Linked DNA regions of Cricetulus griseus. The protein of the gene in region 1 interacts with the protein of each later gene in a pairwise test. Links are inferred from orthologs where the notes say so. Each region holds a gene or a part of one and is shown in the gene's direction. Other genes may lie near its edges.

What was found.
Region 2: the proteins of Arl6ip1 (region 1) and Tufm interact in binary tests that used the Homo sapiens proteins (3 or more experiments, as listed by UniProt). The two-hybrid records come from large-scale screens. The link is inferred for Cricetulus griseus from reciprocal best matches to the Homo sapiens genes ARL6IP1 and TUFM.
Region 3: the proteins of Arl6ip1 (region 1) and Myg1 interact in binary tests that used the Homo sapiens proteins (3 or more experiments, as listed by UniProt). The two-hybrid records come from large-scale screens. The link is inferred for Cricetulus griseus from reciprocal best matches to the Homo sapiens genes ARL6IP1 and MYG1.
Region 4: the proteins of Arl6ip1 (region 1) and Sucla2 interact in binary tests that used the Homo sapiens proteins (3 or more experiments, as listed by UniProt). The two-hybrid records come from large-scale screens. The link is inferred for Cricetulus griseus from reciprocal best matches to the Homo sapiens genes ARL6IP1 and SUCLA2.
Region 5: the proteins of Arl6ip1 (region 1) and Snx12 interact in binary tests that used the Homo sapiens proteins (3 or more experiments, as listed by UniProt). The two-hybrid records come from large-scale screens. The link is inferred for Cricetulus griseus from reciprocal best matches to the Homo sapiens genes ARL6IP1 and SNX12.
Region 6: the proteins of Arl6ip1 (region 1) and Spg21 interact in binary tests that used the Homo sapiens proteins (3 or more experiments, as listed by UniProt). The two-hybrid records come from large-scale screens. The link is inferred for Cricetulus griseus from reciprocal best matches to the Homo sapiens genes ARL6IP1 and SPG21.

The regions. Positions count from the first base shown.
Region 1 is NC_048596.1:82,519,117-82,523,591, forward strand, and holds the end of Arl6ip1 (ADP-ribosylation factor-like protein 6-interacting protein 1), read left to right. Parts: intron 1-426; coding exon 427-544; intron 545-1,527; coding exon 1,528-1,612; intron 1,613-2,528; coding exon 2,529-2,647; 3' UTR 2,648-4,113; downstream 4,114-4,475. UniProt on the Homo sapiens protein: Positively regulates SLC1A1/EAAC1-mediated glutamate transport by increasing its affinity for glutamate in a PKC activity-dependent manner.
Region 2 is NC_048596.1:74,281,783-74,286,861, reverse strand, and holds the start of Tufm (elongation factor Tu, mitochondrial), read left to right. Parts: upstream 1-1,756; 5' UTR 1,757-1,873; coding exon 1,874-1,916; intron 1,917-2,017; coding exon 2,018-2,212; intron 2,213-2,687; coding exon 2,688-2,854; intron 2,855-3,087; coding exon 3,088-3,192; intron 3,193-3,274; coding exon 3,275-3,439; intron 3,440-3,539; coding exon 3,540-3,672; intron 3,673-3,756; coding exon 3,757-3,861; intron 3,862-3,971; coding exon 3,972-4,123; intron 4,124-4,229; coding exon 4,230-4,349; intron 4,350-4,924; coding exon 4,925-5,079. UniProt on the Homo sapiens protein: GTP hydrolase that promotes the GTP-dependent binding of aminoacyl-tRNA to the A-site of ribosomes during protein biosynthesis. Also plays a role in the regulation of autophagy and innate immunity.
Region 3 is NC_048595.1:398,709,715-398,714,686, forward strand, and holds the start of Myg1 (MYG1 exonuclease), read left to right. Parts: upstream 1-1,946; 5' UTR 1,947-1,984; coding exon 1,985-2,200; intron 2,201-2,301; coding exon 2,302-2,414; intron 2,415-4,468; coding exon 4,469-4,628; intron 4,629-4,972. Other genes in the region: Pfdn5 (prefoldin subunit 5), read left to right, coding at 1,514-1,590. UniProt on the Homo sapiens protein: 3'-5' RNA exonuclease which cleaves in situ on specific transcripts in both nucleus and mitochondrion. Involved in regulating spatially segregated organellar RNA processing, acts as a coordinator of nucleo-mitochondrial crosstalk.
Region 4 is NW_023276807.1:228,052,795-228,058,007, forward strand, and holds the start of Sucla2 (succinate--CoA ligase [ADP-forming] subunit beta, mitochondrial), read left to right. Parts: upstream 1-2,193; 5' UTR 2,194-2,251; coding exon 2,252-2,341; intron 2,342-5,213. UniProt on the Homo sapiens protein: ATP-specific succinyl-CoA synthetase functions in the citric acid cycle (TCA), coupling the hydrolysis of succinyl-CoA to the synthesis of ATP and thus represents the only step of substrate-level phosphorylation in the TCA.
Region 5 is NC_048604.1:69,026,144-69,031,071, forward strand, and holds the start of Snx12 (sorting nexin-12), read left to right. Parts: upstream 1-1,803; 5' UTR 1,804-1,912; coding exon 1,913-2,077; intron 2,078-4,928. UniProt on the Homo sapiens protein: May be involved in several stages of intracellular trafficking.
Region 6 is NC_048597.1:177,057,687-177,062,958, forward strand, and holds the start of Spg21 (maspardin), read left to right. Parts: upstream 1-1,930; 5' UTR 1,931-2,149; intron 2,150-5,272. UniProt on the Homo sapiens protein: May play a role as a negative regulatory factor in CD4-dependent T-cell activation.

The DNA.
Region 1 (4,475 bases):
CCAGTATAACTACTCTACTTCTACAGTATCTAACACTCTTCTAGTCCCTGTAGGCACCAGGCATTTCATATATGTGTATAGATAAACATGTAGGCAAAACACACACATAAAGTATAAGTAACACAATTTTTAAAAATTTGCACTCAATGGTGAGCCATTGTTTATTTTTACTTTTTTTAGAAGATAACTCTTGCCACATGTGGAGGCAGCCACCTATGTTCTCAGCACTTGGAAGACAGAAGCAGGTAGATCAGGAATTTAACTGTTCTAGGCCTTGTGGCTCATGCCTATAATCCTAGCATATTACAGTGCTGAGGCGGAAGGATCATGAGTTCAGGGGCAGCCAGAGAGATTCTTTCTCAGGAAAGTTAAATAAATTGTACTGTATCCATTTACTTAAAACAAAAACAAAACTCTCTTTTCTAGGACCACTGAACAACAGCAAAGATTTCATGAAATCTGCAGTAATCTAGTAAAAACTCGACGCAGAGCTGTGGGCTGGTGGAAACGCCTCTTTTCTCTAAAGGAAGAGAAGCCTAAAATGGTATTTTGTTATTTATTTGTTTGTTTGTTTTACTTATTGGAATGTGAAGCAAAATACTGAGTTTGTTGTAATTTCAGTCTAGTGACAGCCTTTTTAGGAGTGAAGTTCAGTACTTATTATCCTTTGGTGTAATGCCTACATATATTCATAAATGTTATATGAGGTAGCTAAATCATTGAAAGGTAAAATTTACATTTTGTATATAACTTTTTATTATAGTGGATGTAAGTCGTCGTCCCCCCCCCCCATCCCCCCCCCCCCCCCCCCCGTCTTGCTGAAGTAAAAGACATATACATAAAAACATGTTCTCGGGGCTGGAGAAATGGCTCAGAGGTTAAGAGCACTGCCTGCTCTTCCAGAGGTCCTGAGTTCAATTCCCAGCAACCACATGGTGGCTTACAACCATCTATAATGATATCTGGTGCCCTCTTCTGGCCTGCGGGCATACATGCAGGCAGAACATTGTATACATAATAAATAAATAAATAAATAAATAAATAAATAAATAAATAAGAAATGCTCCCAAACTGGGCGGTGGCAGCACATGCCTTTAACCCTGGCACTCAGGAGGCAGAGGCAGGTGGATATCTCTGAGTTTGAGGCCAGCCTGGTATACAGAACAAGTTACAAGAAACAAGAACAACAAAAAACCGTGTTATTATATCTTAGCTTTGGTTTTGGTGGAAAGTTGCTAACAAGAAAGGTAACATAGTTTTTATTTTAAAGAGGAAATATATATACATTCTATAAAACAAAGGTAATAAAAATGATCTTATTTTCCCAGCCTTTAAAAGAAAACTGGTTAAGCCCACAAGTGAAGCTGTATGTGTAATGGAGTGCATCATGATGCTTTGGTCCTCTGTAGATAAGCCTCGGTGCTTTGGTCACCTGTGCACAGTGTAGAGGAGTGAAGCAAGCCTTCAGAGCTGCCCGTGTTAGTCTGCTGCTTAGAGCTGACAAGTTCTTGTTCTTTTCCTTAACAGTACTTCATGACCATGATTGTTTCTCTTGCTGCGGTTGCTTGGGTGGGGCAGCAAGTCCACAACTTGCTTCTTACCTACCTTATTGGTAAGTCACTGAGGAAACATCTTGCATGGGTCTTAACAGGGATGTCTGTATAGTGTAGTCAATAAATAGATAAGTGAGTATTCACAGGCCTGTGGAAGTGTAGCAAGGTGAAGACTGAAGACTCCAGCCTGTGCTGGGGACATAGCTCTGTGTGTCCCAAGCCCTAGATTTGATACCCAGTATTAGACAAAACTAATCCCAAAACTAAGGACCTAGATACAGAAGGAGCAGAAATTCAAGGTCATGTCACATTCACAATCAGCCTGGGCTACATGAGATCCTCTCTCTCTTTCTCTCTCTCTTTCTCTCTCTCTCTCACTCTCTCTCTCTCTCTCTTTCTCCTTTCTCCTTTCTCCCTCTCTCTTTGGGTTTTTTCTCTCTGTGTAGTTTTGTAGCCTGTCCTGGAACTCGATTTGTAGACCAGGCTGACCTCACAGAGATCCGCCTGTCTCTGTGTCCCAAGTGCTGGGATTAAAGGCGTGCACTACAGCCGCCCTGCTATCTTTTCTCAAGAGCAAAAAGATTTCAAGTCAGGACTTAAGATAGGGCTTCACGGTTAAAAGCATTTGTTTGATTCCATGTCTAGCATTCACAAGCTGGCTCACAACAGCCTATAACTCCAGTCTTAGGGAATCTGATAGCCAGCATTTAGGCAAATCACTTGTGTATACCCATAAAATAAAAATCTTAAAGAAGTCTGGCCCTTGTTTTCAGGGAGTTTATTAAAGCCTTGTGGGAAGTAAAGACAAGGGTAGTAAGATAGCATAATGCATGAGCATGAGTGCATAGGCAGTAGAGAGGCATTTTAGCTGGAGTTTCTGGGACTGAATCCTGATGGGACAGTGCATTTCATGTTACTTCCTCCAGAGTCTGTGAGTTAAATACTGCTTCCTCAACTTCATTTCTTTATTTCAAGTGACTTTTATGCTGTTGCTTCCTGGACTAAACCAACACGGAATCATTTTGAAGTACATTGGAATGGCCAAAAGGGAGATAAACAAGCTTCTCAAGCAAAAAGAAAAGAAAAATGAATAATGCAGCTTCGGTGGAGTGCGCCCTGCCCCTGGGAACAGTTGTACAGTGCTGTCTGGATACTAAAATGTTACAGTGGCTCTTTGCTTCCCTCCCTCTGTTCCTGTTAATAGAGATTCACACAGGCCAGGCTTTGTGCTATGTCTAGTGTCAGGTGTAGCTGTGTGTATTCCCAGCCGTATAACTTGTTTTATTGAATTTTTATTTTTATCAACTTCCTTTAAAATACTGAAGTGGTGAACTTTGCTCTTTCGTACAGTGAACTATGACTTAGGGTAATAGTTGATGTTTGCTTTAGCTATATTCAAGGTAGTGGTCTGTGGCTACAGGAAGCTGGTTCTACTGTCTGCTTCCACAGTCTGCTTAACAAATTGTCTCTTTGTGAGTACAGAGACCAGGTTTACCACTTTCGATGAAGAGACCATTTTAAGTTTCATTCCTGATTTTCCACTGTGGGAGAATGCCCATGGGATAGTATAAAATTCCACACACTAGTGTATGAGTTCTCTGTTGTATGAGATGTAGCAGCTTTAGGAAGCATTGCCCCTTTGTTCACAGGAGGAATCTGACCTCTCATTTCCTTTGCATTGCTTCAAGTTAGTCCTTTAACAGCTTTGGAACAACAAACTTCAGAAGATTGTATTTGGAAATTTTAGCACTCTCTTTGTTCCAGATTTTCAGCTGACTTAAAATTTCAGGGACTTTACTCCTAGGCCAGCCAAGGATATAAATGTCCTCTTTGTTCACTCAGAAAACTAGAACATCCATTAATTTTTAAGACCAGGGAAAAAACAAAGAAAAAGAAAAACAAATCTTTTAAAAGGAAGCCCGGAAATTCTCATATATTCCCACTCCTACCCGATAATGCTGGCTGTATTTCAGTGGCTCTAGATTTATACGTGGAAGCAGTGTCTACACTGGTGTTTGACTTTCCCTTTGCAGGGTTGTAGCTGAGAGCAGACTGCTGACGGGTGACTGCTCTGTGTAGCGTCTGTAACTCCTTACTTAAGCTTACTGTGATCACATGCCCTTTCAGTAGGTAGACTTTTAGAGCAGTTGAAATCTGCAGGACTGAACCTCTGAGGGCCAAAATAGGACACATTGGGGAACAAGTCTTTAGCCCATGAACTAGCTATAACATAGTTTGTGGATCCATTGCACTGATGCTGTGAAGCCTGCACCTTGGGTCTGCCTCTGTTTTCTCACCTCCCCAGCACTGTAAACAGTGGCACCTGTTGTAGCATGTTTGGTTTTTTTCTTAATGTTTCATGACATCCACCTTAATTATACATGTCTTCTTGTAAATAAGCCTGTCTTCCTACCTGGAGTTTTGTGTGTGTGTATATGTGTGAATAATATATGTTCTACCAATTAACTACTTTGGCAGTTTTAATCATTTCTTCTACTTTGTTTTGTGTAAAAGGGGAAAAAATAATAATAAAAAAAAAGCTGGAACCTCTTTATCTCAATTGTGTTGTTAACTGTTCGAGTTTATGAATCTGGTTAGTAACTTCCCTGTTGTCATTATAAGCCCATGCCCTCTAAGGCAGTCTTGAAAGAAACACCTAGGCACGGTGCTAGACAGAAAGGAAAACACTGAGATTCCAAAGTCTGAGGGGAGGGATCAGCAGGGACAGAAGAGGCTCAAAAGAGCTTGTACCTTTGCTTCCAACACAGGTGGTTGATATTAATCGGGAGATGACTTTTGTCTGCCTTTTGAAATTACACCTCAAGTTGGATGCTATAACTTGGGGTCTCATTTGAGAACAGACTAGAGGTCTCAGGCCAAGGTCATCATAACTCCTATGGTTGTCTGAGGCTTTCAAATTGC
Region 2 (5,079 bases), about 8.2 Mb from region 1:
GTTTTGCCTGCATGTTCGTAAGTGCACTGTGTGCATGTCTGGAGTCCACAGAGGCTAGTAGAGGGTGCCAGATCCTCTAGAACTGGAGTTACAGATGGTTGTGAGCTGCTATGCAGAGCTAGGAACTATGCCCAGGCCTTTTGCAAAGCCAGCCAGTGCTCTTAACTGAGCCATCTCTCCAGCTCCTCTTCTGGATTTTGTTTTGTTTCGTTTTGTTTTTCAAGACAGGGTTTCTCTGTCTTCTGGATTCTTTAGATAAAAAGTTCATAAAGACTGAGGGTCGTAGCAAAAAATCCTAGTAACACTTTAACTGATTGTTGTTTATTTTTGCCTTTTCAATCTGTGCTCAGTTCGTAGAACTTGATTTCCTGCCTCAGCATCTTAAGTGCTGGGATCATAAGGGTTATGTTAAAGCAAGCGTGAGGGGAACCTTGGCGGATTTCATGGCAGGCATTGGTGGCCCAGGCGGGGGACAAACACGCCAGGCAGACAGAGCTTAGTGAGAAGTTTTATTAGAAAGGGAAGGGAGGGAAGGAAAGATAAAAGATGTAAAGAGACACAGAGAAAGAGTGAGGACAGAAGAGAAGAGGGAGACAGGACAAGTCCTGTCGGCCCCAGGTGAACAGCAGGAAAGCGAGGGGAACAGTGTGTAAGTGGGCGGGACTCTTTCTTTTAAAGGTGTCCTTTGCACCTGCATGCTGACCAAGGTACTCCTGAGTGTATCCTGCCAGGTGACAGCGGCAGGCCAGCATAATGCCTGTGTGTGCCTGTATCTAGCTCAGTTTGATTTTTGGAAGAGGTGTGATATATATAGGTTCCTCGTTTGTGCCTAGACTCTGAATTATCATCTCTCTAGGGATGGAATTAGGGAATCTACAGCATTTGGAACAAATACTGTCAATTGAGCTTTGATAGGGTAGATTTCAGAAAGAAGTCGAGAGTTAAGTAGCTTCTTTTACCGCCTGGGGAGAGGCGAGGAAGCTGCGAGAAGGCACGGATGTGAAAGTTCAAGTCATCACTACCCTCACACTTATTCTTTTAGTCAGCTGGCATTTACCGGGTATCCGTCACGTGCTGCACTTTGGAGACAAAAGACTCAGGTGATCAGAAGCTCTCAAAGTTGGTCTTCACACAAAACAGGGCAGGTGCAGATACCAGCAAGAAAATTTATCGGGGCGTTGCGGTGGACGCTCTTAATCCCAGCACCGAGACAGGCGCATCTCTCTAGAGTTGGAAGGCCAGCCTAAACTACATGGCGAGTTCCAGATCAGCCATGGATATGTAGTGAGGCCCTGTCTCGAAAGGAAGGAGGGGAGAAGGAAAGAAGAAAAAAAGAAAGAAAACTGCTTCTCAAGCGACCAAAGGACTATTGGGGGGAGGAGAATGTGACTTCGGAATGCTAGGAAGCACAGGATCCCTGCAAGAGACATGGGGGCGGTATTTAAGGGCCAAGGACTGGAACCCTCTGACCGCATCCCTAACTACTTAATTTTGCTTCTCATGGGCTTGGGGGAGATTTTCCCCACGGCCGAACCCAGCCCTAGCTAACGCCTGCCGCCCTGCAAACTACAATGCCCATAAGCCTTGGCGTGCGCTGTGCATTGTGGGATGCTGCGCGTTTTCCTAAAACGACCCCTCAGGCCGAATTGTGGAAATTCTCTCTTCTCCGCGAGACACTAGAATCCTCCTCTTCCGCCTCACGCCCGGATATCAGTGGCCATGACCATAAAAACCGGCGGCTAGAGGTTCCCAGACTCGCTCTCCCGCCCTGGTTTCCGCCGGAAGTGATCTCTAGTCGCGAGTGCCCGTCCTTCCCTGCACGCGCGGCTTCCCGGTCCCTAATTCTCGGTCCGGGTCGCCGAGTACTACCACAATGGCGGCCGCTACCCTATTGCGAGCGACGCCCCGCTTCAGCGGTGAGGAGGCGGGCTGGGGGAAGGCAGCCTGGAGACCCGAGGGGCGTCGAGGTAGCTGGGTTTGGGCCCACTCCCTTGACTCCAAGCTCCTTTCACCGCAGGTCTCTGCGCCAGCCCGACCCCAATTCTGCAAGGTCGGCTGCGGCCGCTGAAGGCCCGGGCATCGCCCTTCTTATGTCGCGGCCTAGCCGTGGAGGCCAAGAAAACCTACGTGCGTGACAAGCCCCATGTGAATGTGGGTACCATTGGCCATGTGGACCACGGCAAGACCACCCTGACCGCGGCCATCACGAAAAGTGAGTGAGTTTGGGTTGGGTTGGGTTTGGTTGGGGGCGTCCGACATTGCCCTGTCAGCTGGAAGGACCAGAGTTGGGGAGTAGGGTGTCTGTAGTCCGCTGAAGTTTAGCTTGGCGCCAAAAGACACTTCAGACGAGAACTGTTTTGGAAGATTCAGAGACAGGTTTCCCTGTGCAAGAAGAGCTCTGTGAGGCACAACCTGAAACAGTCTGAATGGCTTCTTTCTGTGTGGAGAGATTTTAAAGAGACCTGTCAGTGGAGCGGTTAAAGCGTCCGTGACAAGGACAGACCCCTTGAACAAGTCTTTCTGTCGATAACCCCCTCCCCCTGCAAAGTTATATCTCCTAAAAGAATTGGAGATTAGAGAGCTTTACCCATCCGGATTGTTAATGTATGAGGGATCCAGGCGTGTGCCCCGAGCCTTGCCTGCAGCTCTGAACCCGAGTTGAGAGGTGTGTTCTCTTCCTCCGGTAGTTCTAGCCGAGGGAGGTGGAGCTAAGTTCAAGAAGTACGAGGAGATAGACAATGCCCCTGAGGAGCGAGCTCGGGGTATCACCATCAATGCAGCTCATGTGGAGTATAGCACTGCTGCCCGACACTATGCCCACACAGACTGCCCTGGTCATGCAGATTATGTTAAGGTGAGGGTTGCTGGGGACAATCAGAACCTGCTTCAGGTCAGTGGAGGTTTGAGGGGAGGTTACAAGATAGTGGCGGTGTTTGGATATGAGAACAGTGATTTGTGGCTGCGGCTGCGGCTGTGGGTGGCGAGGACATGGCAGAGTGGTGGTGATCTTCACAACTACCTATATAGTAGTAGACAGTGCACCATTGAAGAAGTCCTTGAACTAAACTTTCTTCCTCTTCCACCCAGAATATGATCACAGGCACTGCCCCGCTGGATGGCTGCATCCTGGTGGTGGCAGCTAATGACGGCCCCATGCCCCAGACCCGAGAGCACTTACTACTGGCTAAACAGGTACCAGGGTCTGAGTGGGACGGAAGTTAAGTGAGAAGTTGGGTAACGGACGATACCATCTCAGCCTCTTTCTCACTTGCAGATTGGGGTAGAGCATGTTGTGGTGTACGTGAACAAGGCAGATGCTGTCCAGGACTCAGAGATGGTGGAGCTGGTGGAGCTGGAGATCCGTGAGCTGCTCACCGAGTTTGGATATAAAGGAGAGGAGGCCCCAGTCATCGTAGGCTCTGCTCTCTGCGCCCTTGAGGTGAAAGCAGGGACTGCTGCTTGCTGTTAGAGGATGGGGTAGAGGTTTCTTCCTTTGTACCCGAGGAGCAGAAATTTCAGTCCTGTTATCTCTCCAACAGCAACGTGACCCTGAGCTAGGTGTGAAGTCAGTACAGAAGCTGCTGGATGCAGTGGACACTTACATCCCAGTGCCCACCCGGGACCTGGAGAAGCCCTTTCTGCTCCCCATAGAGTCAGTTTATTCTATTCCTGGTGAGGCCTGTGCTCACTTGTACCCCCTCCCCATAGGGACCACCTAACCTGGGGTCCCTGGTGACCTGCCCTTTTTCTTTCCAGGCCGGGGCACGGTGGTGACAGGTACACTAGAGCGTGGCATTTTGAAGAAGGGAGATGAGTGTGAGTTGCTAGGACATAACAAGAACATTCGCACAATAGTGACAGGTATAACAAAGGAAGGCTTCAGACCCTGGGGTGATCTCAGAATGATCCTTTTGCATGTAGGGCTTGTGCCTTCCTTCTGCCTTACACTACCTTCTCTGTCTTCTTCCTAGGCATTGAGATGTTCCACAAGAGCCTTGAGAGGGCTGAGGCAGGGGATAACCTGGGTGCTCTGGTCCGAGGCCTAAAGCGGGAAGATTTGAGGCGAGGCTTGGTCATGGTCAAGCCAGGCTCCATCCAGCCCCACCAGAAGGTGGAGGCCCAGGTGAGGGCTCCAGGTGATGGTTGGGCAGGGCTAGGCCAGGTTGTTGCTTCCATAGAAGCAGGACTTTGAGAAGACCATTCATTCTACCCTTGCTCCTCTCCTCTAGGTTTACATCCTCACCAAGGAGGAGGGTGGCCGCCACAAACCATTTGTATCTCATTTTATGCCTGTCATGTTCTCCCTGACTTGGGACATGGCCTGTCGTGTCATCTTGCCTCCAGGGAAGGTATGATGGGACTTAGAGGATGTAAAAGGAGTAGAACTGGGCGGTGGTGGTGCACGCTTTTAATCCCAGCACTCAGAAGGCAGAGTTCAAGGCCAACCTGTTCTACAGAGTGAGTTCCAGAACAGCCAGGGCTACACAGAGAAACCATCTCAAAGAAGAAAAAAAAGGACTTCTACCTAAAGATGTATCATGACACAGTAGTTCGCCCTTTCTTTGGAAAGGACAGGATGAGTCCTCATCCAGTATTCCCTAGACCAGATTAAGCTGAAAGTTTAGCAATACCAGCATTCCCAGAGAAACATGCCGTAGAAAAGGGTGTGTTTTGTTTCTTCCTGCTGTGTTTTGTGAAACAAGGGAGGCTCAGAATACTCCTGATGACTAAAACTAATACTGAAACTAATACCAAATTCCTGATCATGGTCCCTTTAATTTTTGTACTGTTTGCATGTGTCTAGCAGCTGGGAGGGAAGGATGGAGCTTTTCCCAGGTAGCCTTTTCAGCCTGTTGCATTTTCTCATTTTCCCTTGGCTGCTAGAGGTATCCTGGTGACTGCCTTTTCCTTCTCCCTCTATTAGGAGCTTGCCATGCCTGGAGAGGATTTAAAGCTCAGCCTAGTTTTGCGGCAGCCCATGATCTTAGAGAAAGGCCAGCGTTTCACTTTGAGGGATGGCAACAAGACCATTGGCACTGGTGTTGTCATTGACATACCAGCCATGACTGAAGAGGACAA
Region 3 (4,972 bases), on another chromosome or scaffold:
TCTGCTCAGGTGCACATGAGCGTGAGTGTGCCCACACACATACACTGTATTAACATTTGAAAACAACAAGCATGCCAGGCATTGGTGGCGTATGCCTTTAATCCCAGCACTCAGGAGGCAGAGGCAGGCGGATCTCTATGAGTTCGAGGCCAGCCTGGTCTCCAGAGAGAGTGCCAGGAGAGGCTCCAAAACTACACAGAGAAACCCTGTCTCGAAAAACCAAAAAAAAAAAAAAGCAAGCAAAGCCTGGGGATATGGCTTAGTGGGTTTGGTGCATAAGGACTCAGCACCAACACAAAAGCTGAGCATGATCCAAGAACTTGTAACCCAAGTAGGTTTGTCTCTGGTAGGACAGAGACAAATAGATCCTGGCAGTTCACTGACTGGTCAACCTAGTTGAATGGGTAAGTTTCAGGTTCAGTGAAATACCCCATCTCAGGGGGACTAGACAGAATGATACAGCAAGAGAAGATACCATGCTTTCCTTTGGTCTCCACACATATGCTTAGTGGTGGACACACATAAACATATACACTCAAAAAAGAACATGGATAATAACATAAAACTTGGAGGTATTAGGGCTGGAGAGATGGCTCAGAGATTAAGAGCACTGGCTGCTCTTCCTGAGGTCCTGAGTTCAATTCCCAGCAATCACATGGTTGCTCATAACCATCTATGATGAGATCTGGTACCCTCTTCTGCAGGCATACATGCAGACATAACACTGTCTACATGATTAAATAAATCTTAAAAATAAACAAAGCTGGACAGTGGCCCACGCCTTTAATCCCAATACTCGGGAGGCAGAGGCAGGCATATCTCTGTGAGTTCCAGACCACCCTGGTCTACAAGAGCTAGTTCCAGGACAGTCTCCAGGGCCACAGAGAAGTCCTGTCTTGACCCCCCCCCCCTCAAAAACAAAAACAAAACAAAAAAAACCTTGGAGGTATCTTCTCCAAGTTAAAACCATGTCTCTGCTAGATGTAGTGGTTCACTTCCTTTAATCCCAACACTTGAGAGGCAAAGGCAGGCAGATCTCTGAGTTAGAGACCAGCCAGCACTATGTAAAGACACATTGTCTCAACAACAGAAAAGATGTTTCTGTTTCTCTTTGGTGTCCTGATGTGTTATCCTGGGGGTTGAGTGATTAAGAAGAAATCTGATAATGGGTTGGGATAAAATGTCTATAAACACAGTAGAAATCTGCTAAGAAAACACTAGCAGTTACCACATTGGCGGCTGTACATAGCAGTCCTCCAGGAAGTTTAAAAAGAAAGTGCAGGTCCAGTTCACACCAACTAAATCAGTCTGGAAAACGGGTATAGGAAGAGCTGCTTTTGATGTTAAAGCCATCGAAGTGTTGGTGGCTTTTTGTTTTTGTTTTGAAACAGTCTCATTGGACATACATTCCAGCGGTTATTGTACTGACTGACACAGTGTAGACTGTGTGTGTGTTCCTCACCTGGGTTCTCCCGTATAGTCCCTTAGGATGACTCTCCTCCTTCTCTCTTAGCTGTCATGGAAACGATGAGCCAGAAGATCCAGCAGCTCACAGCCCTGGGGGCGACTCAGGCGACTGCCAAGGCATGAGGATATGTTGCAGAAAAGAAGCAGAGAGGAACCCTGTTTCAAGGGGCCTAGGACTTTGTGGGGAGTGGCCTATTGGTGTCTGGGAAGAGAGGGTCTTGTGTTTAATGTTAATAAATGCGCCAGGTGGGCAAATGGTGGTCTTTTCTTGCGTTAAACAAGGGACTGGTGGTGAACTGGGAGTGTCCAGAGGTGTACTTTCGCCTAGAACACGAAAATGGGTCAGCCACGCTGCCTTTCGAGGTTCCACTTGGGGCTTTGAGGAGCTGGAAGAAAGCGTGCACTTTTTTTTTTTTTTTTTTTTTTTTTGTCGTTGCCGTGGGGATAGCTTGCAGGCGGAAGTGAAATGCACTAGACACTTCCTCTTCCGGGTCAACCTTCCAGGGGAGGGAACCCTATGGGTTGTTTCCTGCGTGATATCCTAACAGTGTTGCTGCCGCTGCGGTCACTTCTCCAAACCCAGCGTCGCATGCTCGGTTCAGAGTCCGTTTCGCCCCCTAAAAGGCCTCGCAGCAACCTCATGGCACCGCCGCGAATCGGGACGCACAACGGCACCTTCCACTGCGATGAGGCTCTGGCCTGCGCGTTGCTCCGCCTCCTGCCAGAGTACAAGGTATGGACGGCCAGGAAAACTAACCTGAGCACCACACCTCTGGAAACCCACCCTTCATCCTCTGACTCCTGCCTGACAGCCCCTCCTTTCTGTGTCTGCAGGATGCAGAGATTGTGCGGACTCGGGACCCCGAAAAACTGGCTTCTTGTGACATCGTGGTGGATGTGGGTGGCGAGTACAACCCTCTGAGACACCGTTACGATCATCACCAGAGGTGAGTTCATAAACACCTCTTCTCTGACTGCCTTGATTTATCTTTCGTTTGTGCTGCAATTCTGCCTTTTACTGCCCAAGTCCACCACTGCCTCGTGGTTGAAACCAAACTCCTTAATCGCTCTGGGACTGAAACCTTGCTGCAGGCAACTGAATCCTTCTAATTCAAGGATAGTCCACTACGGTGGTCTTGTGCATTTTTATTTTAATGTGTGTGTGTGTGTTTCGCCTGGATTCATGTGCATTGGTGCCCGCAGAAGTCAGAAGGCGTCGGGCTGCCCTGGAGTTAAAGGAGGGTTGTGAGCCACCATGTGGATGTAGGTATTGAATCTGCCTCTGGGGCTGCAAGAGCAACCAGCTCTTTTATCATCCCCAGCCCGGTGATGGTTAGTTTTAATTTTCAACTTGACACAACCTGGATTTCAGAATCACCTAGGAAGTGGTTCCGTGAGGGATTATCCACTTGAGGCTGGCTGGTGGGCACCTATGTGGGATGCCTTGATTACCTTGATTGATGTGGGGCGGGGCACTGATTCCTGGACTGCGGGAGTTAGAAGTAAGCCAAGCAATAGAAGCATGCATAGGCTTGTTAGTTTTCTCTGCTTTTGCCTATGGGTGAGATGTGATTCTTAAACTCCTGCCCCTTCCCTGCTGTGGTGAACTGTGGGCTGATGCTGCCCTATGTTGGTCTCTGCCGTGTTTTATCATGGCAACAGAAGAGAGCTGTTACCCACAGCACCATTGCCACCCTTCGCCCTCATCTCAAACTTGAGTGTCCCCACTTCCCACCTCCAAAATTTCATGACTCCTCCTTCCAGTTCAGGAAATTTTGTCCCCTTCTGTTGTGTTTGTTTGTAGTTTATCCAGATAGGGTTTCTCTGTGTACAGCCCTGGCTGCCCTGGAACTTTTCTGTAGACCAGGCTGACCTCGAACTAGAACTCACAGAGATCTGCCTTCCTCTATCACCCGAGTACTAGGATCAAAGGTGTGTGCCACTGTGCCTGGCTTGTTTAATCTATTTATTATGAGTACAGTGTTCTGTCTGCATGTCAGAAGAGAGCACCAGATCTCATTATAGATTATTTTGAGTCACCATGTGGTTGCTGGGAATTGAACTCAGGACCTCTGGTAGAGCAGCCAGTGCTCTTAATCTTTGAGCCATCTCTCTAGTCCCTGGCTTGTTTTGTTTTTTTGTTTGTTTGTTTAAGTAAAAAGCATCTGTATGGAATGTGAATAGGCTTTTCTTGTTCTTTAAAGTATAACACCTACTTACCTAACATCTGTATCCTATTAAGTAATCTAGAGATGATCTAAAAAATATGGGAGAAGTAAGGAAGGTGGTGCACACCTGTAACCCCAGCATTTAGGAAGTAATGGCAGGAGGGTCAAGAGTTAAAGGTTATCATCTGTGAGTAAGTTTCAGCCTAGCCTGGATCACACAAGACCTGTTCCCATCCAGAAAAAAAATTATAGCTAGTCATGGTGGCACTCACTTTTAATCCCAGTACTCGGGGAGCCGAGGCAGGCAGATCTCCTGAGTTGAGGCCAGCCTGGTCTACAGAGTTCCAGAACAGCCAGGGATACACAGAGAAACCCTGACTCCAAAACAAAAAAAATATACATATATACACACAGGAGGATGTGTGTAGTTTATAGGCAAACACTGCCCTATTTTACATAAAGGACTTGAGCATCTGGAGGTCAGGTCCTCATGGTCCTGTGAACTACAGTTGCTCTGTTGTTTTGTCCACCTCCCACTGATGAACTTGAAAGGACAGGATCTTAGTTTTTCTCCTTAATATGCAAAGCACAAAGCCTGGCATTCAGTAAGTGATGAGTTCCAACCATTGTCAAGTGAATGCAGGAATAGAAGCTTTGAACCAAGGCCTATGTTGGCACTGGAGGAAAAGCAAACATCATTTGAGTGGGTTTTCTTCTTGTTCGTACAGCATGCCCCATCCTACCGATTCACAGGTCTCCACATGTAAACTTGTATGCACACACTAGACTCCTGAACCAACTCCTTCACTGTAGCCCTTCCCTGTGCTCCTCAGGACTTTTACAGAAACTATGAGTTCCCTGTGCCCTGGGAAGCCATGGCAGACCAAGTTGAGCAGTGCGGGACTTGTCTATCTGCATTTTGGGCATAAGCTACTGGCCCAGTTGCTGGGCACTAGTGAAGAGGACAGCATTGTGGATACCCTCTATGACAAGGTAGGGACCTGAAGACAAAGAAGGCCTATATATACATTCCCACCAGGTTGGCTAGGAATGGCACTGATGCAACACTGGACTAGGCCTTTATTGGACTGTAGGGGACTGTCTTAGTCACTGTTCCATTATTGCAAAGAGACACCATGACCACTGCAACTCTTATAAAAGAAGTCATATAATTGGGGCTTGCTTATGATTTCAAGGGTATAGTCCATATCATCATGGTAGAGAGCATATTGGCCTTCAGGCAGACATAGTGCTAAAGAGGTAGCATCCAGTTCTATATCCAGATTGGCAGGCAGGAGAAGTGACACTGGGCATGGCTTGGTCATTCCCAGTGACAC
Region 4 (5,213 bases), on another chromosome or scaffold:
TTAAGCACTCTGTCACCTGAGCTTCATTCCCAGTATTTCTTCCACACATGTTAAAAGTCAGTGATTCTAGGAATGGGAGTAGACCCCAGTCATCTTTCTAGCCAGGATTTTATGGCCCAGTTCATGACCGTTGGCTTTAATTATGAATCTGACACAATTTAGAATCACTTGGGAATCAAGTCTCAGTGAGGGATTGTCTAGTTTAGCCTAGCCTGTGGGCATGTCACCAGGGATTCTTGAGTAGTGGGAAGACCCACTCTCTGTGGGTGGCACTGTTTCCTGGGAGAGGAATCTGGATTATATGCAATTGTGAAAAACAGCTGAGAACTTGTGAACAAGGCAGTAGTTGTTTTCTGCTCTGAACTGTGCATATAATATGTCTAGTTGTTTGTGTTCTTATCATCTTGATCTCCCACAATGATGGACTGTAACCTGCAATTGTGAGCCAAATAACCCTTTCCTGTCTTTTGTCAGTGTTTTATCACAGTGCCAGGAAGTGAAATTAGGATGATATGTGTGTCTGCTGCACCAGAGATTCTAATAAAAATGCCCTAATTTCCCTTGGGTGGGGCCTATGATGCTTTCTTTTTTGCTTTGTTTAATTAGCATAAATCAGCTGTACATAATAATAGGTTTCATTACAGCATTTCAGACTTGTATTTGATACATTTAAAAATTTCATTTTATGTGTATGGGTGGTTTGCCTGCATGCATGTCTGTGTACCACATGCGTGACTGGTACCCTTGGAGGCCAGAAGAGAGCATCAGGTCCTCTGGAACTGGAGTTACAAATGGTGTGAGCTGCCATGTGTGTGCTGGGAATCACACTTGAATACTTTGGAAGAGCAGCCAGTGCTCATAACTGCTGAGCCATCTCTCTAGCCCAATATATAATCTATTTTGGTCATATTCAACTGTTTTCTTCTTTTGTTTCCCTCCCAGTTCTGCAGATCCCCTTCCTCTTCCCAAATAATCTCACTTCACATTCATGTGTTTTCTTTGATGACTGAATGGGTTTCAGTAGGCTTGTTACAGGAGTGCAGGCTACTCCACAGAAGAAACTGACTCTCCAACATTAACCGTTAACTGTCAATTAATCCTCAGGGAGGAGTGGGGCCTCATGAGACTCTCGCTTTCTCCATGACAGGATGCTGATAGGTCCCATTTATGTTGGACATTTCCCCTTTCTTTCTTTTCTATAAGACAGGGTCTCACTGTGAGTTTTAGAGTAGTCTGGAAGTCTTTAATCTCCTGCCACAGCTTCCAGTATGGAAGCTGTGATTGCAGGCATACATCACCAGGCATGTGTTGGGGTGGGTGTATCCTTAAAAATTAGCATACAGCTAGCAGGTTTCCTTACGATATTTTTATGTGTAGTATTGGTAGATTCCCCTCCTCTTCTCTCTTACCCCCCTGTCCCTTCTCACTTGTGTCCTGTTAGTTACCACACAACCATCATATCTTTAAATTTCATATGTATTTATGTGTGAGTAAGGGTTAGAGGTCAGGAAACTACAGAGGAGCCCATAGGGGAGAAAATAATATATGCTTGCAGTAGGGGTGTGGTAACTAATAGGACACAGGGGCGAGGACATGTAATACATCTTTCTGGGTCTTGGGTTACCTCACTTAATATATTTTCCAGTTAAAAAGTGATAGTATTTTCTTTTAATTGTATGTGTGTGCTACTTCGTGTATGTGCTCGTGGGTGCAGGTGCCTAGGGGGGCCAGAAGAGGGTTTTAGATCCCACAGGCAGTGGTGTCCCTCCTGACATGGGTGCTGAGGTCTGCCACCCCTCCAGCTCTCTTTCGAAGACATTTTGCTAATGTTTTCAGAGTTCAGTCAGCTTTAGTGAGTGACAAACTTTCAAGTATCAGGGCGCTGTCTATTTTCTTTTATTGAAGCTATGGTATCCTAAAGGCTCAACACATGCATTCACTGTCAAGAATTAACCCCACTCTACAGGTGAGTCCACCAGGGCTCAGGGAAAACAAGAAGATCGAAGTGGCGACGACGCTGCGGTTCTCTAGGAAGTGTTCTGGTGGCCCTTTGGCCACAGGGCACACTCTGAGGCTGAGGTGAAAGCTCTGAGGGTCAAAGATTGCTCTGAGCTTGCCAATCCAGGCCAGTCCGGCAGCGACAGGGTTAACCCGAGGCCCCGCCCCCCCCGGGATTGTTCAGGGTCGCGGGCTCGGCGCACGACTCGTCTCCGCGCCTGCGCGGTGCCAAGGGGACCGGTCGGACTCAGAGATGGCGGCGTCCATGTTCTACGGCCGGCAGTTGGCCGCTGCCGTCCTGAGGAGCCACCGGCCGCAGGCTACACTGCGGGCCGCCGCCCAGGTAAGTCGGTCCGGTCCTCCTCAGCCTCGAGAGTCGGCGGGAGAGGCGCGGGGTCGCGGTTCGGCCGCGGGGGGTGTCCGCGGCGCCGGCGCGTCCCGGGCGTCGTGCGGGGCTCAGCGGTGAGGCTGCGAGCCAGCAGTGCGAGCCGGCGCTCGGGTAGCTCCGCTCCGCGGCAGCCTGCGTCCTCAGGAGGCCCGGCCCGGAGCCCTGGCTGCCGGCCCCGGCTCCGGGAGCGTGGCTGGGCGCGCCCAAAGGAGGCTGGGGCCGTCCTGGCCGAGGGCCGACGCTTCCGGGCCCCTTTTGGGTAAGGGGGATGCCCTTCAGGTGAACTTCGCTGTCCCCGGAGCTGTCGTTGGAGAGAAGGACTTCGGAACGCCAGCAGAGACGGCCTACCTACTGTCCTCTTTTTGATCCATCAGTCCCGGTGGTGACTGCTGGTTAACGAGTTTTAAGTTTTTCAGCTGGTTTGCCGGGAGAGCAAGGAAGAAATGTTCTAGAGGACTTCCATTTCTATGTAGACCCTAGCGTAGTACCGACTTCTTTCTGTCCCTTTGCTTCTTGATATTTAGAGTGTGGCAGATGTTGACCGAAGGTCGTTAGACTTGTCAGCAGCACTGGGGTTGTCATTAAGACCAGTTGTCACTGATGACAATCTTGTGGCTCAGAGAAGTACTTTGGCCTGAGAGACACAGCAGAGGAGATGAAGGCCGAGGTTTAATTCCACAACTGTCTGTTTCTGAAGCTGTGTGCTTGTGTCCGCTCTACAGCTTAAGAACATGAAACTTGGGTGCTGGGGATGCTGTTGATTCAGAGTGCCTGTCTAGCATGTAGGAAGCCCAGGTTCCAGTCCCAACATCCCTGTAATCCTAGCACTCAAGGTGGAGGCAAGAGGATGAGACATTCAAGGTCATCATCCTCTACATAGAAGATTCAAGGCCAGCCTAGGCTACAGGACACCCTGTCGCAAAAGAACAAAAACAAACCAATTAAACAGCAGCAAGCCCCATTAAAAATTTGTCCTGGGTGTTAATACCTTAAAATTTCAAGAGCAAGATCAGCTTTCCAAGATAATTCCAGAGTTTCTTTGGTTTTGTTCTGAAGTAACTCTTCAGGCGCACCATATTGAATAGATTTAGTTCCCCTCACCCCACTCCCTTAAATAATGCTGCCTAGTTTTTCAGAATAAGGATTCACTGAACAGATAGATTTTCATTTCATTCTAATAGATTTCATCCGTTTGGAAATCCTGTTAAACATACCTTTGTCACTGGGCAGTGGTGGGACACACTGGGAGCCAGAGGCCAGCCTGGTCTACAGAGCAGGCTCCAGAGCTACACAGTGAAACCCCTGTCTCAAAAACAAACACAAACAAAAGGCCTTGCATTTCCCTATGGGTTGTCAATATGTTGTCTTCATTACCTAGCTTTCCCTTTCACTCCAGCATTAAGAATGTGTCTTTGGACACCTTGCTCTTGTAGATGTGGACTCCATGTCTCAGGAGGAAACTTGCTTAAGGTCACACATTAAATTTAGCAATTCAGTTTTTTTTTTTTTTTTTTTTAAATCGTGGGTTTGTCTTGGAATTGGTCACTTTTTCTTTTTCCTTAAGTTTTTTTTTTTTAGTTGATACATAATGTTTTAATTTACATATACTTATAATGATCAAAATCAGGGTAATTAGCATTTTGTTATCTCAAATATTTGTCATTTCTTTGTCATGAGAACTTACATAGCCACCTTTCCAGTTGCTTTAGAGCAGAATTACATTCTTTTTTTTTAATTGACAATCATTTACACTTTAATCCCACTTTTGACATTTTGAGAGATGCAGCTTAAAATATACTTGCGGCTTAGGGAGTTCCCTCCATCCAGCTGTGCTGCTCACTGGAGAAGAGACATCCCCTTTCATGGATCCTACTGTTTCTGGTGTCCCACTGGAAGCCCAGATTTGGAGTCTTTCTTACACTATTTCTCTTACAGACCTGAGTCTTTCCTTCTGTACCGAAAAGATACCCCCACCACCATCAGAACCACAAGTTCAGTGTTTGGTAGTTTACAGTGATAATGGCTTTCCCTGTTTTACGTGTTTGATTCATGCATTTGTTCACTTTTTTTTTTTAATCAGTTTTTGGTTGAATACCTAGCAGGTTCATGTGCATGCCTTGTGTTACACTGAAAAATCAAATGGGTTCTTGGTTCCCAGTCCTTATATTGTGAGAAAGGACAATCTCATCTCGAGAGCAGTTAGATGGGTGGTCCCCATAAACCAGGCTGCATTTGATTCTTTGGGCCGTCAAGCACGGCTACATCTGGTCATCCTGGACCCACTCACTGAGAATGGGGAAAGCAAAGCTCGGCAACGCTCATGCTCTGTCTAGTCGCCAAGAAAGAACCATCTACACATGGGAAGTCGGGAGCCTGGAAGAGCTAGATCAGTGGCAGCAAATGATGAACTGCACAAAGCAAGGGGAAACCATGGGAACCGTACAGAGAACTCGGGGCCTCGCCTGGAAATGTTAAAATGCTGCTGTTCACCCGCCCATGAATCCAAGATCCTGGAGTTCTGGAAGATTAGCATGGCTGAAAATCACCCTCCCGCTGAGCTACTTGGACTCTGCCTACTTAAGTTACATTCTTGTTATCTATAGTCACTATAGTAGAACACCTAACTCCCTCCTTCTATTTAATTGTAACTTCTGTGCATCCCAGTCCTTGGGATTATGCAGGAATTGTATTGCTAACAGAATCTAAAACTATTGTAATTGGAAGTTAGAGCAGCTAGTGCTGCAAGAAACAATTCATTTAAGTTCTTCAGACATTAAAACTCTTTTAAAGAGCTGCGCTTGGTGACACACACCTTTAATCCCAGTAC
Region 5 (4,928 bases), on another chromosome or scaffold:
AGAAAGTTAACTCATGATTGGCCATTATGGTACATGCCTTTAATCCCAGCTCTTGGGAGGCAGAGGTAGGCAGATCTCTGTGAGTTCAAGGCCATCCTGGTCTACAGAGTGAGTTCCAGGACAGTCAAGGCTACACAGAGATTTAGAAAAAACAAAAAAGGAAATTAAGCATAGTGCTTGCCACATAAGTAGTTTATAAATCTCAGTTATATTGAACTAAATAACTTAATTGTCAAATTGTAAACCCATGTGGTTTGTTGAAAGAATTCAATCATCAGCGATATAAGAATTTTTTAGGAGGGGAAGTTAGGTGAAGGGAAAAGGAAAGATGACCTAAAATTTCCACTTGTCTACCCCTTAATATGGGACATGTAGCACTGGAGAAATGTCTTAGTGGTTAAGAGCACTGGCTACACCTGCAGAGACCCAGCTTTGATTTCGAGCACTCATATGGTGGTTCACAACCATCTATAACTTCAGGTCCAGGGGATCTGACCTCCTCCTATGGACTCCTTGGGCACTGCATGGACCTGCTTCATGAACATCTATGCAGACACATAAAAATACTTATTTAAAATCAAAATAATAATAAAATAATTAAAAAATATTGGACATGCATAAGCCAGTTTTTTAAAATGTATATTGAAGGACTGGGGATGTAGCTTGTTTGATAGACCCTGAATTTGATCCCCAGCACTGTGCAAAACTGGGTGTAGTGGAGCATGCCTATAATCGCAACATTTGGGAGACACAGGTAGGAGGGTCAGAAGTACAAGGTCATTCTCAGCTACAAAGTGAGTTTGAAAACAGCCTGGAATACGTAAGACAATGTTTCAAAACAAAACAAAACCAAAACATCACATAACTAATATTCCTAGCTGGACATGGTGACACAGACCAGTAATACCAGAAACCAAGAGGCATCGTCAAGAGCATTGCTACAAGTTTGAGGCTAGCCTGGCCTACATAGCAAGTGCCTGGCCAGCTGGGATAAATGTAAGACTCTGTCTCAGCATGTACCTGTGTGCAAATACATTTTATACATATGTATTTATGTTTTTCTATAGATGTTCTCATATAGACACATATCTTCATCATAGGTTGCAAGGAAGCTCAGAGCATAGCCAAGTGTGGATGGAGTTCTTCAGAATATAGACAGAAATTACGAAATAAGTGCCCTGAAATAAAAGAAATGAGTACACCTGGAATTAGTTGTTATGTAGCAACATGTGGAGAATGAAGATACACCCACTATTCCTGAAAAGCGAGAATATGAAATCATTATTGTTCACCCAATTCGAATTTGCTGCTTCTCTGGCACCATAATGTATTTCTTATCGAATACTCAATTGTGTGTAGCTTGAACTGAAACTATCAGTGGCACAAGAGGTGGGGCTGCATTCTACATTTTTTTGGTACTGTTGTTGGAACCCCACCTTCCAGAAACCATTCTCCTATTTTCATGGAATGTACTTATTTAGGACCTGGGGTTTCAGCCTATCACCTATGGATAATAGCTCGCGGGGCAGTGCCCACTGCTGATTGATGCACGGGACGAGACAGTTTCTGGAATTTGAGGAACACAGATTGGTGGAGCCTGAGTGTGGTGCTTCTGAAAGCATTGGATATGGAGTATTACAGATGCAGGTTCCGGGGCATTTACCAGTACCACCCGGAAGTCTGAATGACGCTTTCACGCTAAGGTATAAACCCTAGTCAGCATGGTGGTTATTCAGGGCGACGGGCCTGAAGGCTTGGGCGGTGTGTACGTGCACGCATGCGTGTGCGCGTGCGCGTCGCCGCTGTCTGTGGGTTGGCTGGTTATTTTGCAAGCGGGAGGGGCCGTGCTCGCTCTTGCCTCAGGCTTCTGTCCCCCACCCCCTTCACCGGTACGGGTCTCTTCTTCGAAAAGATGTCGGACACGGCAGTGGCTGACACTCGGCGCCTTAACTCGAAGCCTCAGGACCTGACTGATGCTTATGGGCCGCCAAGTAACTTCCTGGAGATAGACATCTTTAATCCACAGACGGTGGGCGTGGGCCGCGCGCGCTTCACCACCTATGAGGTTCGCATGCGGGTGAGTCACGGGGTGAGGGAGACAGCTGAGGGCGGACGACGCGGGAGGGGAGGGGGCATGGGGACGACTAACGGCGGGGAAGCTTGGAGGGGGTCACATGAGCGTTAGGGCTTGAAAGGTTTGAAGAGAAGGTTGCAGACTCAGTTGTGGCCCGAGGGTACAGAAAACTCCAGAGGGGACTTCGGGCGGGGGCGCAGGAAAACAAGTACTCACGAGGCAGAAGTAAAGCATGGCTGGACAGGGTGTGGAAGATGGACAAAGATTAGTGAGGAATTCAAGTAGATTGGGATCTTGATTGACAGAGGGACAAAAGGGGAGGGTGGAAGAAGGCTGGGGGATGGAAAACCAAGGCGATTTATTGCTGGGTCCCATAACTGAACTAGGTTATGGAAGTCAATCTAAAGGCGGGGGTGGGGGTGAGGGAACGGGAAGTCTGGGCTTCTTTCTAATGAGATCTCTCTGGGATGATGGAATTAAAAAAAAAAAAAACCCTTTTAGTTCTAGGAAAGACTACTGGAAAGGGAGACGGCGGGCTTGTGAGAGAGAGCAGAAATAGAAAGGCAATCTTGAGACTGAATGCTTTGCTGACTTGTTTAAGATTTACATCTGAAAGAGAGAAATGTTTTATGCTTAAGTTTCTTAGGTACCACAATGCCGTGTCTTACGTGAAACCCGGCCCTGCACTGGGATTGGTGGATTGTCAGTTGCTGCTCCCATCCTCTGCTGATCCTTTAGATTTGAAGTATCCCGAATGTTTACTTCAGTTTTTATTGGCTCTCATTTTTTTTTTTTTTTTTTTTTTTTTTTTTTTTTTTTTTGTAAAACGCCATTTGCCTTTTTCTGTCCCTGGTCTGTATTTACTTTAATACATGACATTTCAGAACTGCTCTAGGAATGGCTTCTTCCAGTTTGCACCCCAGGGGACTTTATTCTCTTAGTCCACAGTGCTTAGTCCATAGGGCAAGGATGGAATGTGCAGATAGAGTACCTGGTTCACAAGTTTTTTTTCCCTGTTGAAGTGGTACACGTTAAAACAAATTAAGAACCATTTTTTAAAAAAGTTTTCCTTGCATTTTCTTCTCAGTTTACACACCCAGGATATTCTTTGTGAATAGCATCCCTCTTGAATAGCATTGAAGATCCAAGAGACATATGGTACTCTCATTTTTTTAGAAGAATTGAATAAGAATGTGTATTCTACCTGTGCTTGACAATCTTAGGGAGAAATGGTACTCCCTAAACTGAAGGGGTAAAAGTGATAGCAGCATGAAGAAAGCTTGTTTCTTTCTTTGTTTTTTTGTTGTTTCTCTGTGTAACAGCTTTGGCTGCCCTGGAACTAGCTCTGTAGACCAGACTGGCTTCATACTCACAGAGATCTGCCTGCCTCTGCCTCCCAAGTGCTGAGATTAAAGGCGTGAGTCAGTAAACCTGGGTAGGTTTTAGTTTTTGTATACATTTTTAAAAAGTAAAAATCAGGAAAGCATGTAGTTTTAGTAGTTTTTCCAAGTGCAAATAACAGTATCAGATAGGGCTGGGATTTGAAACCAAGTCTCTAACTCCAAAGTCCATGTTCTTCCACCACTTGGTCAAGGCTTAGTTGCAAAACTTATGCGAAATGTACACTGAGCTTTTTTATCAGTCCCTTTCACAGTTCTAGTTATATAATGTTGATAGAGTTGATGGTGGTTCTTCATTCTGTGGATTTGAGTTGATTTGAGGCTTTTACTGTTTTATTGAACTAGCTTTTGGAAAAAATATGTAAAATCATTTGTATTTATTTTTCTGGTGCTAGGGATTTAATTCAGGTCATGCATGCTGAGCACACTCCTCCATTGATCTACACCTTCAGCTCCATATAATAAATATTGATGAAGCTATTCTCTTTAATTTTATTCAGGAATGGATCCTGCCTGCCTGAGGAGTATGGAAAGGTGCTATGGTGGCCTCACATCATTATACATATTGATATGGATGTTTCTTTTCTTTTTTTCCTCCGAGACAAGGTTGCTCTGTGTTGCCCTGGCTGTCCTAGAACTCACTTTGTTTTTTTAATATTTTATTTATTTATTATGTATACAGCATTCTGCTTCCATGTATATATGCATACCAGAAGAGGGCACCAGATCTCATAACAGATGGTTTTGAGCCACCATGTGATTGCTGGGAATTGAACCTAGGATCTCTGGAAGAGCAGCCAGTGCTCTTAACCTCTGAGTTATCTCTCCAGCCCCCTGGAACTCACTTTGTAGACTAGGCTGGCCTTAAACTCAAGAAATCCACCTGCCTCTGCCTCCCAAATACTGGAATTAAAGGCGTGCACCACTAGGCCTGGCTCATATGGATGTGTCAATGTGGACTTGAATTTTGTGTTTTTTTTTTCTCTCCTTTTACTTTATTTTGTGCTGAGCAGAACCCCAAAGCCCTCAATATCCTGTGTTATACAATTCTGGCTTCCATATATGATTGTAGTTTGGAGCCCAAGGACTAGCCTTATATGTAGTAGCTTTTTTCTTAGATGGCTAGGTGCTGTGATGGACAATATTTTTGCCATTCTTTGAGGGAAAGGAAAGAACAGGTTTTTGTTGATTTGTTCTTTAGTCAAAGCCCACAAAATGGCAGTTTTTAAATTAAAAACTTTAAAAGAAGATTTATTTATTTTATGTCTGTGTATCATGTGCATCCTGGAACTGGAGTTATGGATAGTGGTGAGCTGCCACAGGGGAGCTGGGAATTGAATTTGGGTCCTTTGTATGAACAAGTGTTCTTAAATGCTTTCTAGCTCCTTTACATTTTTTAAAAATTTTTCTGAGATAGGGTTTCTCTGTATATCCTTTGGAGTCTGTCCTGGAAC
Region 6 (5,272 bases), on another chromosome or scaffold:
AATCTAGGAGCTGAAAGACGGCTCAGAGATTAAGAGTGCATATTACTCTTGCACCCATCTTGGGCAATTCATAAATGCCTAGCTGTAATGCCAGCTCTTGGGGACCCAAAACCCACTTCTCCACTCCTTACACACTACACTCATGTGGACCACATACTCTCCCACACACACAATTAAAATAAATAATAATAATAAAAAATAAATAATAATAAAGATATATTTTTGGTTGAGTTGGGGGAAGAATAGAGGAGAGCAGGATGAGAGATACCATAACAGAGGGAGCCATTGTAGGTCCGAGGAGAGATCTGGCACTGGGAGATTTCCAGAGATCTCCAAGGATGACACAAACTGACAATCTAGGCAATGGTGGAGAGGCTACTCTAAATGCCCTTCCCCTATGAGACTGATGACTACTTTCTATGCCATCCTAGAGCCCTCATCCAGTGGCTGATGGAAGCAGAGACAGACACCCACAGCTATACACTGAACTGATCTCTGGAACCCAGTTGCAGAGAGGGAGGAGTGAAGATCAAAGGGGTCGGTACCAGGCTGGTGAATCCCTCAGAAACAGCTGGCCTGAACAAGGGGGAGCACATGGACCCCAGATGCTGTCTGGGAGGACAGTACAGGACTGATCCAGACCCCTGAACGTGAATGTTAATGAGGAGGCCTAGGCACTCTATGGGGCCCCTGGTAGTGGATCAGTATTTTTCTCTGGTGTAAGAAGGGACTTTGAGAGCCCATCCCACGTGAAGGGATGCTCTGTCTCGGCCTGGACACATAGGGAAGGGCCTAGATCCCGCCCAGGATGATGTGGTGGACTTTGGGGAGCACTCATGGAGAGCCCTACCCTCCCTGGGGAGTGGAGGGGGGAGGGGGGGCTGGTGGGAGGTTGGGGAGGGAGGGAGAGGGAGAAGGGATTGACATGTGAAGCTATATAAATAAAATTTTTTTAAAAAGATATATTTTTAAGTTCTCCTTAAAACACTAAGATCTTGCTATAAGATTCTTAAAATTTTTCAAACAAGATTTACAGATAATTCAATATGATCATACATTATTTCAGAGCAAAACTACTTACTGAAAGGAGTCATAACATCTGCACCCTCTTTTGTAAGAACAGTGATTAGAGTGAGCCTTACAGAAGAGGACCTGTGTCTGAGGGCAAGCCTAGTGTTGAGTATGTTCCCCTCAACATCAGCACAAAGCCGCAAAAGGAGACAGTTTGGACAGGAGGTCTGAGGAGGATCTCTGTAACTGTACAGAGAAAACTAGTTCTGTTGAGAAAAAGTATGTAGTTAAGAAGAGGGAGGAGATGGGAGCATGAGAGGAAGATAAAGACTAACAGGGTGATGACCAGAATACTTTATGTAGATATGAAAATGTCCTAATGAAGCCGTTATTGTGATTTAATTAACTTATGCTAATTAAAAAAGAATATATAGCCGGGCGGTGGTAGCGCATGCACAAGGCGGGAAGTGCGCAGAGGCAGGACGATCTCTGTGTGTTCAAGGCCAGCCTGGTCTACAAAGCGAGTTCTAGGACAGCCAGGGCTACACAGAGAAACCCTGCTTCGAAAAACCAAAACCAAAAAGTAAACCAAACCAACCAACCAAATACATCAAGCTCTATTCACCAAAGCTAGAACCCAAAGATGTCTCCCCCGAAGCACGAGCCACCCGAAAACTGAAGGCAGAAGCACAGACTTCACTGCCATAGCTTTCTCCTGGTGCTTATGTCAGACAGGTGACCTAGGACGGACCCTGACCCAACGCCAGCACTGGCGCCAGCTTCTGCATTGCTCCAATACATTTGCGCTCGGGCGAGCACAGAAGCTCCCATCCGGGGCTCCACGCCAGCCTCGTTGTCATAGTTACCGCCAGAGCCCCGCCCCTTCCTCGCTGTCCGGCCCCGCCCCTCAGAACCCGGAAGCGGGAGGCGCGCCCCAGGGAGCTACGGGATTCAGACCTGGGAGGCGGCGGCCTCTGGCTGCTCAGCCGCGCGCCCCCTCTACCTGCTGCGCCCGCGGAGCCTCTGCTCTGCAGCCGCCCGGCCCACCCGCGCCCTGCCGCCTGCCTCCGCAGCGCCCGAACCGGGCCGAAGAGCCGTTTGGGCTGGAGAGAAAGGGACGCGGGGGTGGCCACGGCAGGTGAGGGGCAGGCCTTGGAAAGCGGAGTGAGGGTGTGTGGTGCGTGTAGGGTTGTAGGTGGGTGTGTATCGAGCATGCGTGACTAGTGAGTGTCGTCCACGGGTGGGCCGGTCCTTGTGACCATGCACGTGATCCATATCCGTGTGTGTTTGTGTCTGTGTCTAAGGCCCAGCCTCGGTTCATTGCGGATGGTCGGTGTGCCTGTGGGTCCACTATTGTGTGGCTATGGCTATAACTAGTGGGACTCAGGGAGGCCCCAATGGGGGTTGGTGCCCAAAACCTTAACCGGACATCTTCATCTTCTTGTACCACCCAACTTGGGGCTGTGCGGCAGAAGCTCAGAAGCATTTGGTTTCAGTAAACTTTTAAGGACTGCGAGTAGAGGCCAGTTCTGGAGATCCTGCCTTAGACCGGGCATGAGGCTTGTTAGAGAGTCATGAGAAACATTGCAGGGCTAGCGAGTGTCTCGTTTTTCTTTTCCCAGGAAGTTAGTTGTTAGGTGCTGATGCAGTTGCTTTGTCTCTATCTGCAATTGTCCAGCTACTCTTCGTGCAAGGATTCTAAGGATTGGGAAGTCCTCTAATACTGTCTGAATTTTTCAAAAGGCATTTACAACAGGATCTTGAGAAGAGGTGTCAGAAGATGTCATGCAGGCAGCATCTCCTGTCATGGCATTTAGAGACAAGTGGATAGGTTCCTGGAGAAAGAGGGATGAATTTTCCCTGAAGAAATCGCCCCCGAAAGATAGCTATTTAATACATATGGGTGTGCTGGGGGTGGGGTGAAGATCTGCAGTAAATAGCCAACTGTGGTTCTTTGGGTGTAGTTTAGTGGCAGAAGCTCATGCTTAGCATTCCCGAGGCCATAGGTTCAGTTCCTGGTACCGATAATCATAGTTGTGTCACCTAGAGGCTTTCAAGGTCTAATGCTTTTTTTATTGGCTGTAATAATCACAGATTATCCCTATGTAAGTCCACTATAGATTGAGATAAAGGACCAGCCATATGTGACCATGTGAGTTAACATTTGTAAAGCTGATTTCCTCAGCTGTAAAGTGCAGGTTCTGCTGAGACTCCACGTGCATGCTCACATCCAGCAACACAAAGTCCAGAAAGGACCAGGTGTCCTCAGCATCCCGGAGGAGGGGTTTCCTTAATCATGATTAAAGCTTATCTCTGGCCCTTTCCTCACCAGCCTGAACAAGTGCTTTTGTTTTTGTAAAGAACTGAATCATGAGAAATCGCATCTGTGCTGAGCTCACCGCTCACATTCTTTTTTCATCCTGACCAGTTTGGTCACAATCTCAGCTAACTTTCTGGGCCATAGACACAATGTTTCTTTTGTGACTTGGAAAAGCATCCGACCTAAGTGGATGAAAGAGAGCTAGAACAAACTTTCCTTTTCATACTGCTACAGCTGCTTTCCCTTTGCAGCTTTTTTTTTCTTCTTCTTCTTCTTCTTCATAGCCGTCAGCTGGTCACATGCAACATTTGGTAACTGTCTCGCCTTTCATTACTGCCGAACTAGCACAAGTGTTAGGCTCACTTGTCTTTACAAACGTGTACTCACAGCTGGGCAAAATCTCTTACCCATCAAGATTAGTTATAACGTGTCCTGTTGCAATACTGAGGTAGTTGTGAATTATACGGAAGGCTTTTGGTAAGGACTACCTTCTACCCATTGCTATGGGAAAGAAGTGGGTGACTCGGGGTCCTTGTGTGCCTGCCTACGTGTTTGTGCTGTGGTTTGGTTTGTGAATTGCACCTGACTCTAAAACTGTGAATAATTTCTACCGTAAATGGGTTGATTCTAGAAGTAAACTTTAACAAATTGATTGAAGTTTTTGTTTGTGTGTCTGTTTTGAAATGAGGTTTCACCTATCACTGTGTAGCCCTTGCTGGCTTGGAACTCACTATGTACACCTTGAACTCAGAGTTCTGTCTTCCTCCTGAGTGCTGGGATTAAAGGTGTGCGCTATCATCTGGTGGTTTCACATATTTTTGATATTCTCTCCTACAGAAATTGTTCTAGAAAATGTCTTTAGTTGGTGTCCTAGTGTAAAGTATTTCAGAATTAACTGCTAGTTGCTTTCATTTAAAAAAAGTAGTAGCTTAAGGGAGACAGAAGAGGTAAATTGACTATATTACATTTTGCATGAAACTATTCAAATAATAAGAATCTCTAAAAGTTGTTAAAGTTATGATATAAAAATAGTTTAAACATCTTAGATACTAAACTTGTTAATATTTAAGATAAATGGATTTTGCAAAGGATTGTGTTCTTTGTTTTAGTGTTAATGACTGAATCTGTGCACGATGGTTTCAATATAAGATTGATGGTAATTTACTTTGTGTTTTAAAACAATTTACAGTTTTAGCGGGGGCGGGGGGGCTCTGCTCTCTGTGAGTTAGAGGCCAGCCTGGTCTACAGAGTGAGTTCTCAGTTGGGGATACACAGTGAAATCCTTTCTCAAAAAAAAAAAAATTACAATTTTAACAACCCTCTCAAAATATTTCCTTTGCTTTGAGATAAGAGACCACTATCCTATCAGCATTGTAATTAGAGTTTTAATATTGGTCTGTCTACATTTACTGTCTCCTGGAAGTTCAGTGTAGTGATTCTCAAAGGTAGCAGACCAGTGTTGTGTCCCTGTAGAAAGAGGCCAGAGAATGAGGAAGGGTTCCATTAAGTTTAGAATTCTCTGCCCCTTGCCAGGCCAGAGAGCTTTTTCAAAGTCAGCCTAAACTTAAGTCCTGGACTGTCACCTCATCCCTACTAGGGACTCTAGTTCTGCCCTCAAAGCAGGGGAATGCCACGCAAGACATGTATTTGAACCTTTCCAGGTGGGCCAAGTGCTCTTGGCCATAAGAATCTGCAAGAAGGAACCTTCCCTTAGGTTCCTGTTACAGCATCGCACAGTCAGGCAAAGGATATGCAGTTCACAGCTGGGCAGTAACAGAATTAGGAGGGCTTCTCAGAGGGCCTGGTTTGGTCTCTTTAGAGCTCAGTCATCTCATAGTCAGCAGATCAGGTGGGCTGAATGCCAAACCATTCTAGGCTCTGGGGAAGCAAAGATGAAGCCCACAGAGAGGAAACAAGCACAGAGGTCTCAGCACTATCAAA